3 linked regions of the Bombyx mori genome follow. The protein of the gene in region 3 interacts with the protein of the main gene of each other region in a pairwise test. Links are inferred from orthologs where the notes say so. Each region holds a gene or a part of one and is shown on either strand. Other genes may lie near its edges. The genes, in order: mitochondrial thioredoxin 2, Ubx and protein mothers against dpp.

What was found.
Region 1: the proteins of protein mothers against dpp (region 3) and mitochondrial thioredoxin 2 interact in a two-hybrid assay, tested with the Drosophila melanogaster proteins (2 studies listed by BioGRID). The link is inferred for Bombyx mori from reciprocal best matches to the Drosophila melanogaster genes Mad and CG8993.
Region 2: the proteins of protein mothers against dpp (region 3) and Ubx interact in a protein complementation assay, tested with the Drosophila melanogaster proteins (2 studies listed by BioGRID). The link is inferred for Bombyx mori from reciprocal best matches to the Drosophila melanogaster genes Mad and Ubx.

Annotation. Positions count from the first base shown.
Region 1 is NC_085117.1:14,774,910-14,779,135, reverse strand, and holds mitochondrial thioredoxin 2, read right to left. Parts: upstream 2,672-4,226; 5' UTR 2,604-2,671; coding exon 2,419-2,603; intron 1,293-2,418; coding exon 1,028-1,292; 3' UTR 946-1,027; downstream 1-945.
Region 2 is NC_085112.1:6,103,927-6,108,322, forward strand, and holds the start of Ubx (ultrabithorax), read right to left. Parts: upstream 2,856-4,396; coding exon 2,393-2,855; intron 1-2,392. UniProt on the Drosophila melanogaster protein: Sequence-specific transcription factor which is part of a developmental regulatory system that provides cells with specific positional identities on the anterior-posterior axis. Binds the consensus region 5'-TTAAT[GT][GA]-3'.
Region 3 is NC_085118.1:1,282,809-1,286,992, forward strand, and holds the start of protein mothers against dpp, read right to left. Parts: upstream 2,886-4,184; 5' UTR 1,649-2,885; coding exon 1,541-1,648; intron 1-1,540. Other genes in the region: pneumococcal serine-rich repeat protein-like, read right to left, coding at 2,941-3,098, 4,146-4,184.

The sequences.
Region 1 (4,226 bases), on a different chromosome or scaffold from region 3:
TGACTTAAAGGTATTAGTTACCAGGTCATAAAATCTCTTAAAAAAAAATCATCCCTAAAATAACCTACAATTGTTACACGCTCTTTCAGTTGTAGTAAAAATTTTTATTCAACCAATATCAATTAAGTTATGTTATGTGATTTATGTAAAAGAAGTAACAATATAATTAAATTTTAATAAACTATAATTGAACTTTTACTAAAGCTACCCTTACAGGGTATTTTGTATAAAGTATATAAATAAGCCGCTATGGTTAAAAGGAAAGGAAAAAAAAACAAACATAACAATAAAAAAAATAAGACAAAGCTGAATCTATCAGTATCTTCCGAAGTACTAAACGATCGCAAACAGGAAGCAGAAGGAAACGAGGAGGACGATGAAATTGAATCGAAACCTGCGGCAGTTAAGCGACAACACGTTGATGACTCCGATGCAGAAGAAACACCGCGTAAAAAGAAAAAGAAAAAGCCCGTTATTACCGAAACAACTGATAAAAAAGGTAAAAAGTCGATACGACAAACAAAGAGAGAAAACTATCTTAAACGTCAAGCCCAAGCTGCAGAACTTTCAAAAAATCAACTCAAATCTCAGTGTCTCAGCTATCTTTCTCAGTGGAAACATGACAAACAAAACTGGAAGTTCATGAAAGTTAAACAGTTATGGCTACTTAAAAATAAGTTTTCCACTAATTTAGTACCTGATGAATCTTGGCAGACCCTAATTGAGTATTTTGAATCTGCAAAAGGGAATGTACGCACATTATTGCTTGAAGATGCAAAAAAAGTCATTAAACAAATGGATGAATGGACAGAAAAACATGGTCAAAGTAATACACAAGAAATAGATGAAGAAAACAGTGAAGAGAATACAACAGAAGAGACTAACAAACCTGATGAAGTTACATATAAGAGAGCTCGAGATTTAATACAATGTCTTGAAGAATAAATTAATTTTTTGAATAAAACATTTATTAAATTAAGAATCTACATTGGTAACAAAGAAAAATATATCATTTCATTTTATTAAATTAAGCTTTTATTTCTGCTTTAGTTTCTTCAGAAGCAAACTGTTCAATCCACTTGCGTAGTTTATCAGTATCTTGCAGTCCAACTAAACGGTTTTGTACTTTCCCATTCTTTATCGCTACTAAGACTGGTACAGAGCTTACTTCATAATCTAATGCTAAATCAGTTTGTTCATCAATGTCTACTTTTGCCAAAACCACCTTGCCTTTACTTTCTGCTATTATAGACTCAAGGCGAGGAGTAAGTAGTCTACATGGGTTGCACCACCTGTAAAAATATTACACATATTTTGGGATTACCTTATTAAGTGCAGTAGGCACAACTTGCATATAAGTAGCAATTACATTATCCAAGATAAGGCTATGCATATGTGGATGGTCTCAACATACAAAGGAGGGTATCAAAGGAGGTATACTATACAGAAAATGTGATGTCATAACACAATTATTCTAAACCCATATACTTGTTCTCTTATACAGTATTTAGAAAACCACAAGGTATTTAAAAAAAAACTTAACATTCATATCAGAGTACATAGATATAGATAAGATAAATGTAATAAAAGAAAACCAGAATTTTGATGTTGTTTTAATATGTTTCTGACACCAACCCTCCTTAAGATTAGAAAATCAGGAGAGTATTTTGGAAATTAGGTTATCACATTTAAAATACAAATACTGAAATGGTAGTAAGTAATGACTAAAAACACAAGAGTTATATATCTGTATATGTATATCTTTTAGTTAATATCATAACAGATACAAGTTCCTTTGTGGTTAGTAGTACTTAATCAACAAATTATCAATAAGTAACAACAATGTGCATTTTTTTAAATTTTTACTGATAGATTTATGACAAATGTAAACATAGATATTTATTATTACACAACTGTAGTGTCAGCCTACTAATAGAACCACTGCATTTCTTCCCTTGGGTACTGTAAAAGGCAAAAATTGTAAAACTGAAACAGTTGGAGTATTCTACCAGCATAATGATCATAGTGAGCTGGAGTAGGAGATATCTTAAACCCTTTTAGTTGGGTACCTCTTTCTGCCGCAAAGTACTTATGTGTTCTAATTGACAGGGTTTCAACTTTTAAGCAATATAACTTTGACCTCAAGTTTTGAGATGAAGACATTGCTATTGTAAAGTCTATAAGCTCAAGCTTTCTGAGTTAAGCCTACTGAATATACACACCAACCATTATTTTACCATATTTCTTTTGTACATGTTTATTGAGGGTATATTTTTAACCATAATTAGCATACAACATTAATTGACATTAGGTCATTTCATTGATATTAATTTGCAGACAATTAATGACTACTTATCCCACGTTTACTGTACCTATTTACGAGGTACACATAAAAAACGATAGCCAATTAAAACTTACGTTGCAAAGAAATCGACAACGACGGGAACTTTACTATTAATTACTTTTTCTTTGAAGTCATCAGTACTCTGGATTTTCACAATGTCGTTTTTCGACGCAGTTAGAGAGAAATTTCTCAAAAACCCATAATTTTTTTTTAATGTACAATTTCGAATGAATAAGTTAGTAATATTTTTGGTAAGCATTTTGTAAAAACAATGCACTATGCAATATTGCAAATTATTTGGTAATAGAAAATGGGATCAATTTCCAGTATATATAATCTATGATAACTACCATAGATTATTTTTTTTGGTAGTTTTTCCTTATTAGGAAAGGCAAGGGGATCTAAGCCCATACAGCTTTTGAAAAGCATAGACATTAAACATAGATTTGAGAGTGAAAAGTCATAAATTATTTGTATTACCTATGGTACCAAGTTGTTCTCTATGGAAGATGGATTAAAGGTCTCCCAAGTCATAAAATGTTAAAAAATTTTTGGAAGCGACCATCTATATTAGACTTAGTTACTTTGGCATAACGTTAGATTTTACCCGCTTCTTCGTTTATATAGAAAGTGAAAATATTTTTGAATAATAGAATGTTAAGGAGGTATTAATGAAGGTACCAAAATCACGCTTTTTAACCGACTTCAAAAGAGGAAGTTATCAATTCGACCACAATTTTTTATCTATGATATATATGTTCACAAATTTTTGGAGAATGCTTGAACCATGGAGTCAATAATATCTACAATAATACTAAGTATATGGTTTGAACCAATTCCGATAATTATTTTTTCTTTTTTTTGTTCGAAAGAGTAGACTTCCCGAATGATCATGTAATCATTAAGATCTGATGATGGGAACCTAGAGAAATCCAGAAAAATCTATAATTTTCAAAGTCTACCTTGAAGTGATTTGGGTGTTTCTTGTTATTCTTCTCTGTGCCGCAGCACGCCGGCCGGTCGGCGTCTCGTACCTCAATATTACGCGCTTGGTAATTATTATGCTGCGATGTTATTTTAAAACTGCGATATCTTCTCATACTCATTAAAATCAAATGAGGGGAAATTTCTTTAAAATTAATTGTAATGAATAACGTAATTGTTTGGACAGGGATTAATATCATCTTCATAAAATTTGGTTAGTATAAAAAACGTTATAGTGAGCAAACATAAAAATATAGATCCGTCGTAGTAGAAAAGGTTTTTTAGAACTTTATAGGAGAACAATTTGGTCATACATTGTTTTAGCGAAACTTTAACCGTTTCCACAGCGCACGCAGCAGAAGCTTTCAAAACAGAAAAATACCCTCATTTTGAAATGTTTCAAATTTTCTTTATTGGTGCTCCGCTTGTAGTGGTCTTAGCATGATGTTATATAGCCTCTATATAGTATTTCTGAATGAATGAGCTATATAAAACTAAAATATTTTTTCAAATCGGACCAGTAGTTCCTGAGATTAACGCGTTCAATCAAATAAACAAACAATCTATTGTTCTTAATTTTCACGTCATTTCAGATCCTCCCAATCCACTAACGGTGCTTTTAGGTATCCCAAGCACCAGTCATCGTTCTCGTCGAATGACGGATGGCTCGGCTAGTAAATTAACCTAAAGACACAGCCCACTGAGTTTCTCGCTGGATATTTTCAGTGGATCGCGTTTCCGATCCGGTGATAGATTCTGCGAAGCACGGTTCTTACTGGGGTTCGTGTTAGCAACAACGTCAAATTTGAGCCCCGTGCGCTCACCCTGATATGGTATCTCAAGACCATCAGCTTAGGTAGGAAAACAAAAAAAAACAATCTTAAGTTTTATCGATGTT
Region 2 (4,396 bases), on a different chromosome or scaffold from region 3:
TATATGTAATTGATATTTTTCAATATCAAGTTTTGAAGAATCGGAATGTGTAAAAGCCTCTACAGAACGAATGTGCACCAAGTAAGAAGAGAAAGATTCAAGTCGCTGTTTGAAGGGTCATAATAATTGTCGTATGATTGAAAATGAAAATTATTCCACCAAATAATTTTTCTTGTTTTTATTTTGTTCCATTTAAAAACCGCTTGTAACAAATTTAAAAAAAAGAAGTCCACGGCCCTGTAATTTAAGTCCTCAATTATATAGCAGTAAGATCGGGAGCATGTGATTGCAATTTCGAGCTTCAACTTATACCGTATTTATCGTTTGCTTCACTAAATTAGTTACATTTACAGCTCCACAATTTTTTTTTCTTTCTATATTTATAGGAATTTATACCAAATTACCTATGTTTTAGGTATTTATACCAAAAAAGGTTTACTTTACAGGTATTACAAATTAGCAAACTGTCCAAATGAACAGCAGGGACCGTTCATGGACAAGCCCGAACTTTTCATACATGCCACGTCCAACAAGCGTCCTTGTATTGTTTCGCGGCCTGTGTTGCGTGAACCCACAGTGAATTATAGCCGACGGTTCGACTTCTCATTTTATTTTGTTATTTTTTAGGCCCTGTTACTTAATTTTTATCAAGTCGCATGAATTATGACGAGGCGGGACCACACGCGTAGCATTAATTACTCGTCGCCGGCCCAGGTGAACTAATCGATTCAATCGAAATTCGAATAGGACTTCTTTTCCAGAAAAACTACTACGAATGAGAGAGAATCGATTCTTATAAGACTTAAATTCTAATCTATACCAACTAATATGCCGTATTAGATATTTTGTAAAACATTTTTAAAGCGTTATTTTATCTTTTAAGTGCATGAATTGAATGTTTACCGAAACGTATGTTTGAAGATTGAAGCGCTCTTAATGGGATGGTCATTTGTCGAATGGTCAGTGGCAGTAAGTTAATAATAATGCGCCCAAAACTAGACCGGGCCATTGACCCGGGCGGGCGGCGCGGGCGCACCTCTCCTGCCTCGTTGGGCCACTAAAATAGCGCTTTTTGCTTTACTTTATGCCTACACAATCAATTTTGAACCTGAAAAATTTCATCTTAAAGTATGTGTTAAGTATTGAAGGATTGTTAAACGTTTTATTTATTTTTAGATAGTAATAAAATAAATATACAACTTTTAATAATAAATAACTTTTATTTTATTTTATTTCTTAGCTTTATTAATGTATTTATAAAATTAATTTAAATTGTTATGGGTCAGAAAAGAGAACACAAGTAAATATCGACAACATATTTGTCTCTTTATTTTACATTCTCTCGAAATATTTTAGTGTTTTGTCGTCCGGTAAAAAAAGTAGGTATAATATGTTCTGCTAAATCTCCGTATAGTCCAGTCCAAGATTAAATCGTATTTTAATTCACAAACCTTGTTAGTTTTGTTCCAAAAAAAATTTTAAGACACGAGAACTTTATTTCAAATAATCCAGTTCCATAGCTCTATAATTTATATACCAGTTCCGTTGCTACGAACCATCAACATTCAGGAAGTCTACACCAAAGATTTTATGATCAAATCACTGATATCAATTTATCGTTACAAATTAGTAATTTGGAGGATCCTGAGTTTTGTCCGCAATAAAATTATTAATGGTACTCAAATCTGTCTCACTAATAAGGTGTTAACGAGGGTCGTTCGTTTTATGTGCTTTTTATTGACACTTGATTTGTCGGCTACCTGCCGGTTAGTATTGGACTCTTAGGAAACATTAATGGACGATTCTGAAGTGGCCCGATTATGTGTGCCAAACAGGATGGCAGCATTTTAGTGATTTTTACGGGGTATCGGACGTGACATATTTTTGTTACGCCTCTCATTTCCACTTATGTATATTAAATGTTGACGAGTTTTTTATGGGAAACGCAATATATTTTTAAATATAGAATCATAAATTTCAGTGATATTTGTAAACAAATATGTAATATACAATATTAATAGGTAGAGACTTCGGCAATTAATTTTATCAAAAAAAAAACTGCACCTACGATCGCAATAATACACTTCAATCGAATATGCAATTTCGAAAAGGGCACATGTCGCATATTTTGTCAAATACGTTTTTTCATATACATGTAGTTTTGAGGCTTACCTACACCCATTTTATAATAATTCCCGTAATTTTCAATTGCTAATTAACACTTAAAATATATTTCAAAAGTTAATATTTTAAATTTTACACTGCTTTAGAAAATAATCAGTTTTTTTTCATTTCCTGAACATTTTACATTTTCAGAGGTGTGCCCTTTTCGAAATTGCATATTCAATTTATATAGAGTTGTGATCGAGATAATTTTTTTTAACTTACTAACCTGCTATGGCCATCCAAGGGTAGAAAGTGTGGTTAGTAGGCTGCTGGTGCACTGGCTGCGCGGCTGATGCTGCTGATCCCGGAAGTGCACACTGGTTGCCCCACGGAAGCGCTCTACCAGGACTTGACGACTCACTGTATCGAGCTTCAGGAGTGCATGCTGCCGGCCTCACTAGTGCTCCCAGACCTGAGCCCCAGGCTTCTTTCCCACCATAGCCATTCTGCTGCTCACCGCCTGGCTTTGAACAATCTGCTTTAGGATATTGCTGCTCTCCAGCATAGAGCTTGCAGGCCGCCGCGACAGACGCGTCGTACGGTGAATCCTGAGGACGAGGCTGGTGCAAAGCGTGTGGCTGTGCATACGTGAGGCCCAGAGGGAAGCCGCGGTACTGGTCTCCACCACCGCCGCCCTGGTGCACTCCATGGGCCCCGTAAAAACCACCCTGCTCGAAGTAAGAGTTCATCGTGACCAGTCACAGGCACTAACGTCACTCAGGGAACACTTATGTCATCGCGGCCCCGCGCGCCGTGATAACGCGACCTCCGCCAATGTCACACCAAATACGGACAACGTAATTTATTTTTATTAATTTTATTGCCTCTTAAACGTCACTAAAGCGTCATAATGGGCTTCGTCGGCGATAAAGGCCAGTTGACGTGTGTTTACTTTTTACGATTATTTTACGACTCGGGAGCGCGTGCCGCGGGTTTTACGACTTTTTAAGCGGTTTCGTCTGCGGCGCCGGCTCGTCTCAGGACGTCAGCCGAGAGCGCGTCTCCACTGTATGAAATCAGAAGTGATCGTGGTGGTGTATGGGCCGGAGGCTTGTGTCGCGAGCGAAGTTTTCCGTCGCGTGTGGCGGGAGCGCGCGGCTGTGTGTCGTGTGCGACCGGCGCGACGCGGCTCACGCAATGTACTGAGCGCGGCTGAGACACGCGCGCCGCCCCGCGCTCACTGCTACCATCGCAGCCCAACGACTATTGTTCCGTCCCCTTTTCGCTAATCACTATAAATATTATCAGTTACGCTCTCTTTTCCTTTCCTTATCACACCCACTCGAGCACGTGGCGAACGTTCGTCAAACAAACTAGAACTTTAGCTGCTCTACTTCAGAATACCTAGGTTAATAACTGACATTTATATGACTTAAGAGAGAACTCAATAACATCAAATCCTATTATAAACTATATGTTTTCTTTTAACAATTTATGTATCTTCGGACGACCGCGTAACAAAACTTTTGAAGAGCCTCAACAAAAGCCTCAAAAATGAATAGAACGAAAAAGTTAAGCCGCAAAAGTCGTAAACTCATAAACGTACAATTAGTGAAACGGGCGAGTAAAGAAAAGATTTTACAGCCACTCGTCGACCGTGCCACAATGAGCGTTCAGTATCGTAACAAGGTGCTGAATAGAGTGAGAAGTCGTAAAGATGATTATTATTTCTTCTACTACCTGTTTTTACGAGTGATGTTTCTATTGCTCTCTTGCTTAAGGCGCCCGTTCGAGAGCGAAAGGGACAGCGCGTCGAGCGCGGAACGGTTATCATCCGAGCGGGGCTGATTAGTGTATAGCGGTCTTGGTCTCGCGCTGTGTAGCGCATGCAGTGGACAACGCACTATCGGAGGGTAAACAATAGCGCATTATCGCGAGTTCACTTCGCGCGACCAAATGAAGTCGTCAAACGAATGAATGGTGCGCCCTACCCTTAAGAATTGAACGCATTTTTATTGCGCCTTCGTATGTAAATATTTCCTTTAGATCCGGGTATTGAGACGTTTTTTTATTTATTTATTAAAAATGATATATGTAAAATGACAAGTTTAACACTTTTATTTTAATTAATAGATAATGGTGGTTTACGTTTCATGAATTAAATATACTTAAATTTTTTATGATTTTTTAAAACTTACCTTATTTCAGGTTTTCGTTAACTTGCAAAATAACTTATTGAACCAGAACCAAATCACGACACCAAACTAGAAATTAAGAAAAATATTAATAA
Region 3 (4,184 bases):
AAAGCAACAATAGCCAGTATTCAGTAAAATTCAGTTGTTTATTCGAACTTCAGGCTATTGCTGTAGAAATGTGATATTCATTCCTATCATTTATTGATTCATAGCACTAGACTGGTGCTCATGAGAAGTACATGGAAAAACGTGGCACATATTGGGAATGAAACATAAAGATTTAATCTTGCTTATTTTAAGAATGCCTGTGAAAATGACCCAGTTATTTACAGTACAGAAATTGTAGATTGCAGAATTAATTTTGACACTTCTAACTTTGCTGATAGGCACTAACAGATTCTTTTTTCTTATTATTGTATAAAGGTTTTCACAACTTTGAAAGTAAAATGCATTACTGTTTTACAACTGAAAGACATGGAACAATATATTTAAAATACTCGACCTCATTATCCAAATTTATAATATTTACCTTTATTTTTCCTTAATAAATTAATGCATTATTGTGAATGAGGTTTGTAGACACATGTTGAGTATGATATTGAATCTGATGTTCTATGCTATTTACATTTGAAAAAATATCCTATCTTTACTTTTTGGCACCTCTTCATCAATAAGATTTCAGAAGATTCTGGAGGTATGCAGTCAGTCTAGCTTACACCTCATTTAACTGTCATTAGTATATCAATTTACATATACTAATAGTAATGTCTATTCACTTTTAGTTACTTTATTAATACATTTGTTTCCCACAATTTTATCTGACCCGTCAGACTATAGCTTATAGATAATAATTGAAATCCTTGACGAAATGGATTTTAATACAACAAATACTTAATATTTTAGTGGATATCTCAAACAGAAGGAAGCAAAGAGAATATTGCAGTACTGATATGTTACATACACACAATCCCTACTTAGTTACTCTATCACTACTAAGAATCCTCATCACACTTGCTAATCGAAGGTCCCCTATTGCCATTGGGTTGATATCACAAAAATACCTACAGAGATGCTAATCAGATCATTAGGTCGATGGTAGGCACTAATAAGCATTAGTCAAACCCTTAGGCATATGTTTTATAGTGAAGTTGACAAAACATCTCATCTGTTTAGGTAATAAAATAAAAAAATAATAAAAAATAAAAATAAAAACAAAAAAAAAGCCTATTTCCTTATCCTTAACTTTCATTTGAAATGTGGTATTTATTTGTTAGTGTTTAGTTAGTTATTAATGCTTTTTGTCTAAATGTTAGTACGAGTTAATTTTTGTTATTGGATATGGACCCCTCCTCCGGTGAAGGCCTCCTCCAGTCCTTTCCACTGATCTCTGTCCTTGCCGATCGTTTGCCAGTTTAGTTATAAACACCGAATACAAACTAAATGCTAAATTTAAATACTGTTTCTCGTCTCATTGAAATAAAGACATTGTAATTGTACTAACAGAAGATATGAGAAGTACATTCATTTCTGTTAGTAAGTTGTCGCTTTTTAGACATTTATGCTTAGTCAAAATAATACCATATCAATACCAATAGTCCTAACTTCAATGTGAGATATAGGTTTTATAATTATTAAAAAATTTGATTACCTGTTTCCAGCCAAGTAGTTTTTTGACAGCGGGACTGGTAAATGAGAATAGGCTGTTAAGGCTAGACATAGGCCCGCTACTTGAAGACTCGCCATCGTCAGTGTCCATCCCTACGTCCTGTTATGAGTCACCGGCCAAAGGCACACGCGTCCCCACAGTCACCGCGGCAACCGACACACCATCGATCAGCAATTCGGTATTCCCCACGGTGTCCCGGGCTAATTACGAACTCCACAAGATTGGCGTGACAATTGCCAAGCGTCCGGCCCACTATGATTTACGGCCTCCAATTTCAATCACTTGTTTACACATTCATCAAGAACGCGGTTTTTTTTTTAATTCAATGACTGTCCAACAGAAGTTCCTTAGATAACAAAATTTATTCAAGATTATAAAAAATAAAACGCTTAAAACGCAACAACTAGAATGCCAGTTAATTAACCAGTTCCTTTTTTGACGTTACTGTTAATGTTGCCATCAATATTCTGTCGGAATAGCAACATACTCTATGTCACTAATAACTAGAATTAAACTATATAAACTAATTTTAGCGATAGATCGAATTCGAGTGACAGAATAATCGAATCACTGACACATAATTGTAGACACCGGAGGCCGTGGCACAGAACACTATTACTTCTGAGGCAGTGGCATCTTTTTATCCCCAGTATTGTTTATAATTATCTAATCACAACTATTAAAATAATCTGTGTATCTAATAACCATACATAATACACTTATTATTTCTAATAACCACCTTCTTCATCGTATACTGAATGTTTTATAATTTACTGAGGCAAATAAAACAGATTTCCGAATATGGATTTTCGTGACTCGCCTAAAGTTAAATAAGTTGTAAACTAAATGAATAGAGACAAATTTCAAATGAAAAAACTTTTTTTTTTTTTTCAAATAATAATTTGCGCAGCCTCGTGATTATTTAAAAAATATATATTTTGGTATTAAATGCGAGTGAGTATGTATGTGTGCAAGTTGTACGTGAAGATCTGAAAAGTATTTCCTAAGAAAATTGGTGCTAGCATGCGGGATTTGACCTAAGGTCTATACCCTAGCTCCTAGTTCCTAGCTCCTAGCTACGGATAGCCGTAGTGGTTGGTATGATTGTACCGGGCATCTTATCCATTAGACCACAAGGACTAGCGTAAGACGTATTGGATCTTCTTTCTTTAAAAAGGTTATATCGATACACATCACATCTTGGCATTGTAAAAAGTACGCTTATCATTTAGTTACAAGCTTTTATAATAGTAGTACTTAAATTAGGGTACGGGTGAATATAGAATTGATAATAGTTTTATTTGTATTACTGTATTATTTATGTAACTAGTATGGATTATAGATGGATAAGAATGACTTAATTAGGAGGTATATCTATGGATTCATCGTCTAGGTTTCAAAGCACTTCCATCCAAGCTAATGAAGACTGGCTTGCTATTCAGGTCACACGAACAGTAGCAGCGTCCATACTTGGATCCGTCTTCGACGATCAGAGTCTTCAATGTTATTTCGTTTTCAACGGCCATATGCATTGCCGGAGCTGATAATCAGTAAAACGTGATTAGTACATAACAGAGTAGAGGTTACTTTATTTACAATGCTTAAAAATATTTAACGAGGTTATGATTTTATTTTATATTTATATTTTAATAAGTATTAATCACATGTTTAATTTAATATGATAATAATATGTAGTATCTGACACACTGTACGAAACTTGCTGAAAGTTAAAATTATGAGTGAGTCTATTAGGGGTCTACTATGGGTGAAAATTACGTATTCGAAACGTCACTAATCATTTATTGAGAATTAAATACGGGGTATTAAAACGTAACAGCTATTTCAATTACTCGTATGTCTTAAACTCAGGAAAGCCAGGGAAAGTTTTTTTTAAATTAATTTATAGCGGGAATTTGGAAACATTATCATACATATAACGCAAACGAGTTACTATTACAAATCTTACTAGACGTGCACCGCGGTTTTACCTGCGATACATTTCTAATTCATTAATACTAAAATTCATATATTTTCCCGAGATAAAAAGTTGTTTTTCAATCTTTCTCGTCCATAACCAGTCTATTTGTAGATCCTTGGTATCTACGTAAAATCGTGAACCAGAGAATAGGTACAAGGTCGTCTTTACTATAGCGAATGATTTTTTTGTTCTTGCCTGGATCAAGTACTTTATCATGATAGTAGTATCATATGCATACACGTTAAAAACCAGTGAAGTTTTCACCAATGAATCTACTACCGGATCGGACGATCCGCTGAGAAGAGCCGAAGAGAAACTTAGCGGGCTGATATGTACCTATATGGGTTAGGTTGCACGTCAAACTCTTTGCCGAGCTCGACGATTACGGTTTCCAGGGTCCCTGAACCTGCTCCTAGTGTTAGAACTAAAGGCGTCTAGTGCTGAGATTAATGGATCTGGTGGATCCGTAAGGACGTGCCGTGTTGTTTTTGTGTGAAAGAGTACCAAATATCTATTAATCCTCCCAAACTTTGGCATTTATAAAATAAGTAAACCATATAGGGACATACATACATTATGTACTAAAAATAAATCGAAAATAAATCATACCTTGATTAAATTTAGATAAATCATATCTTCCTTTGCGTT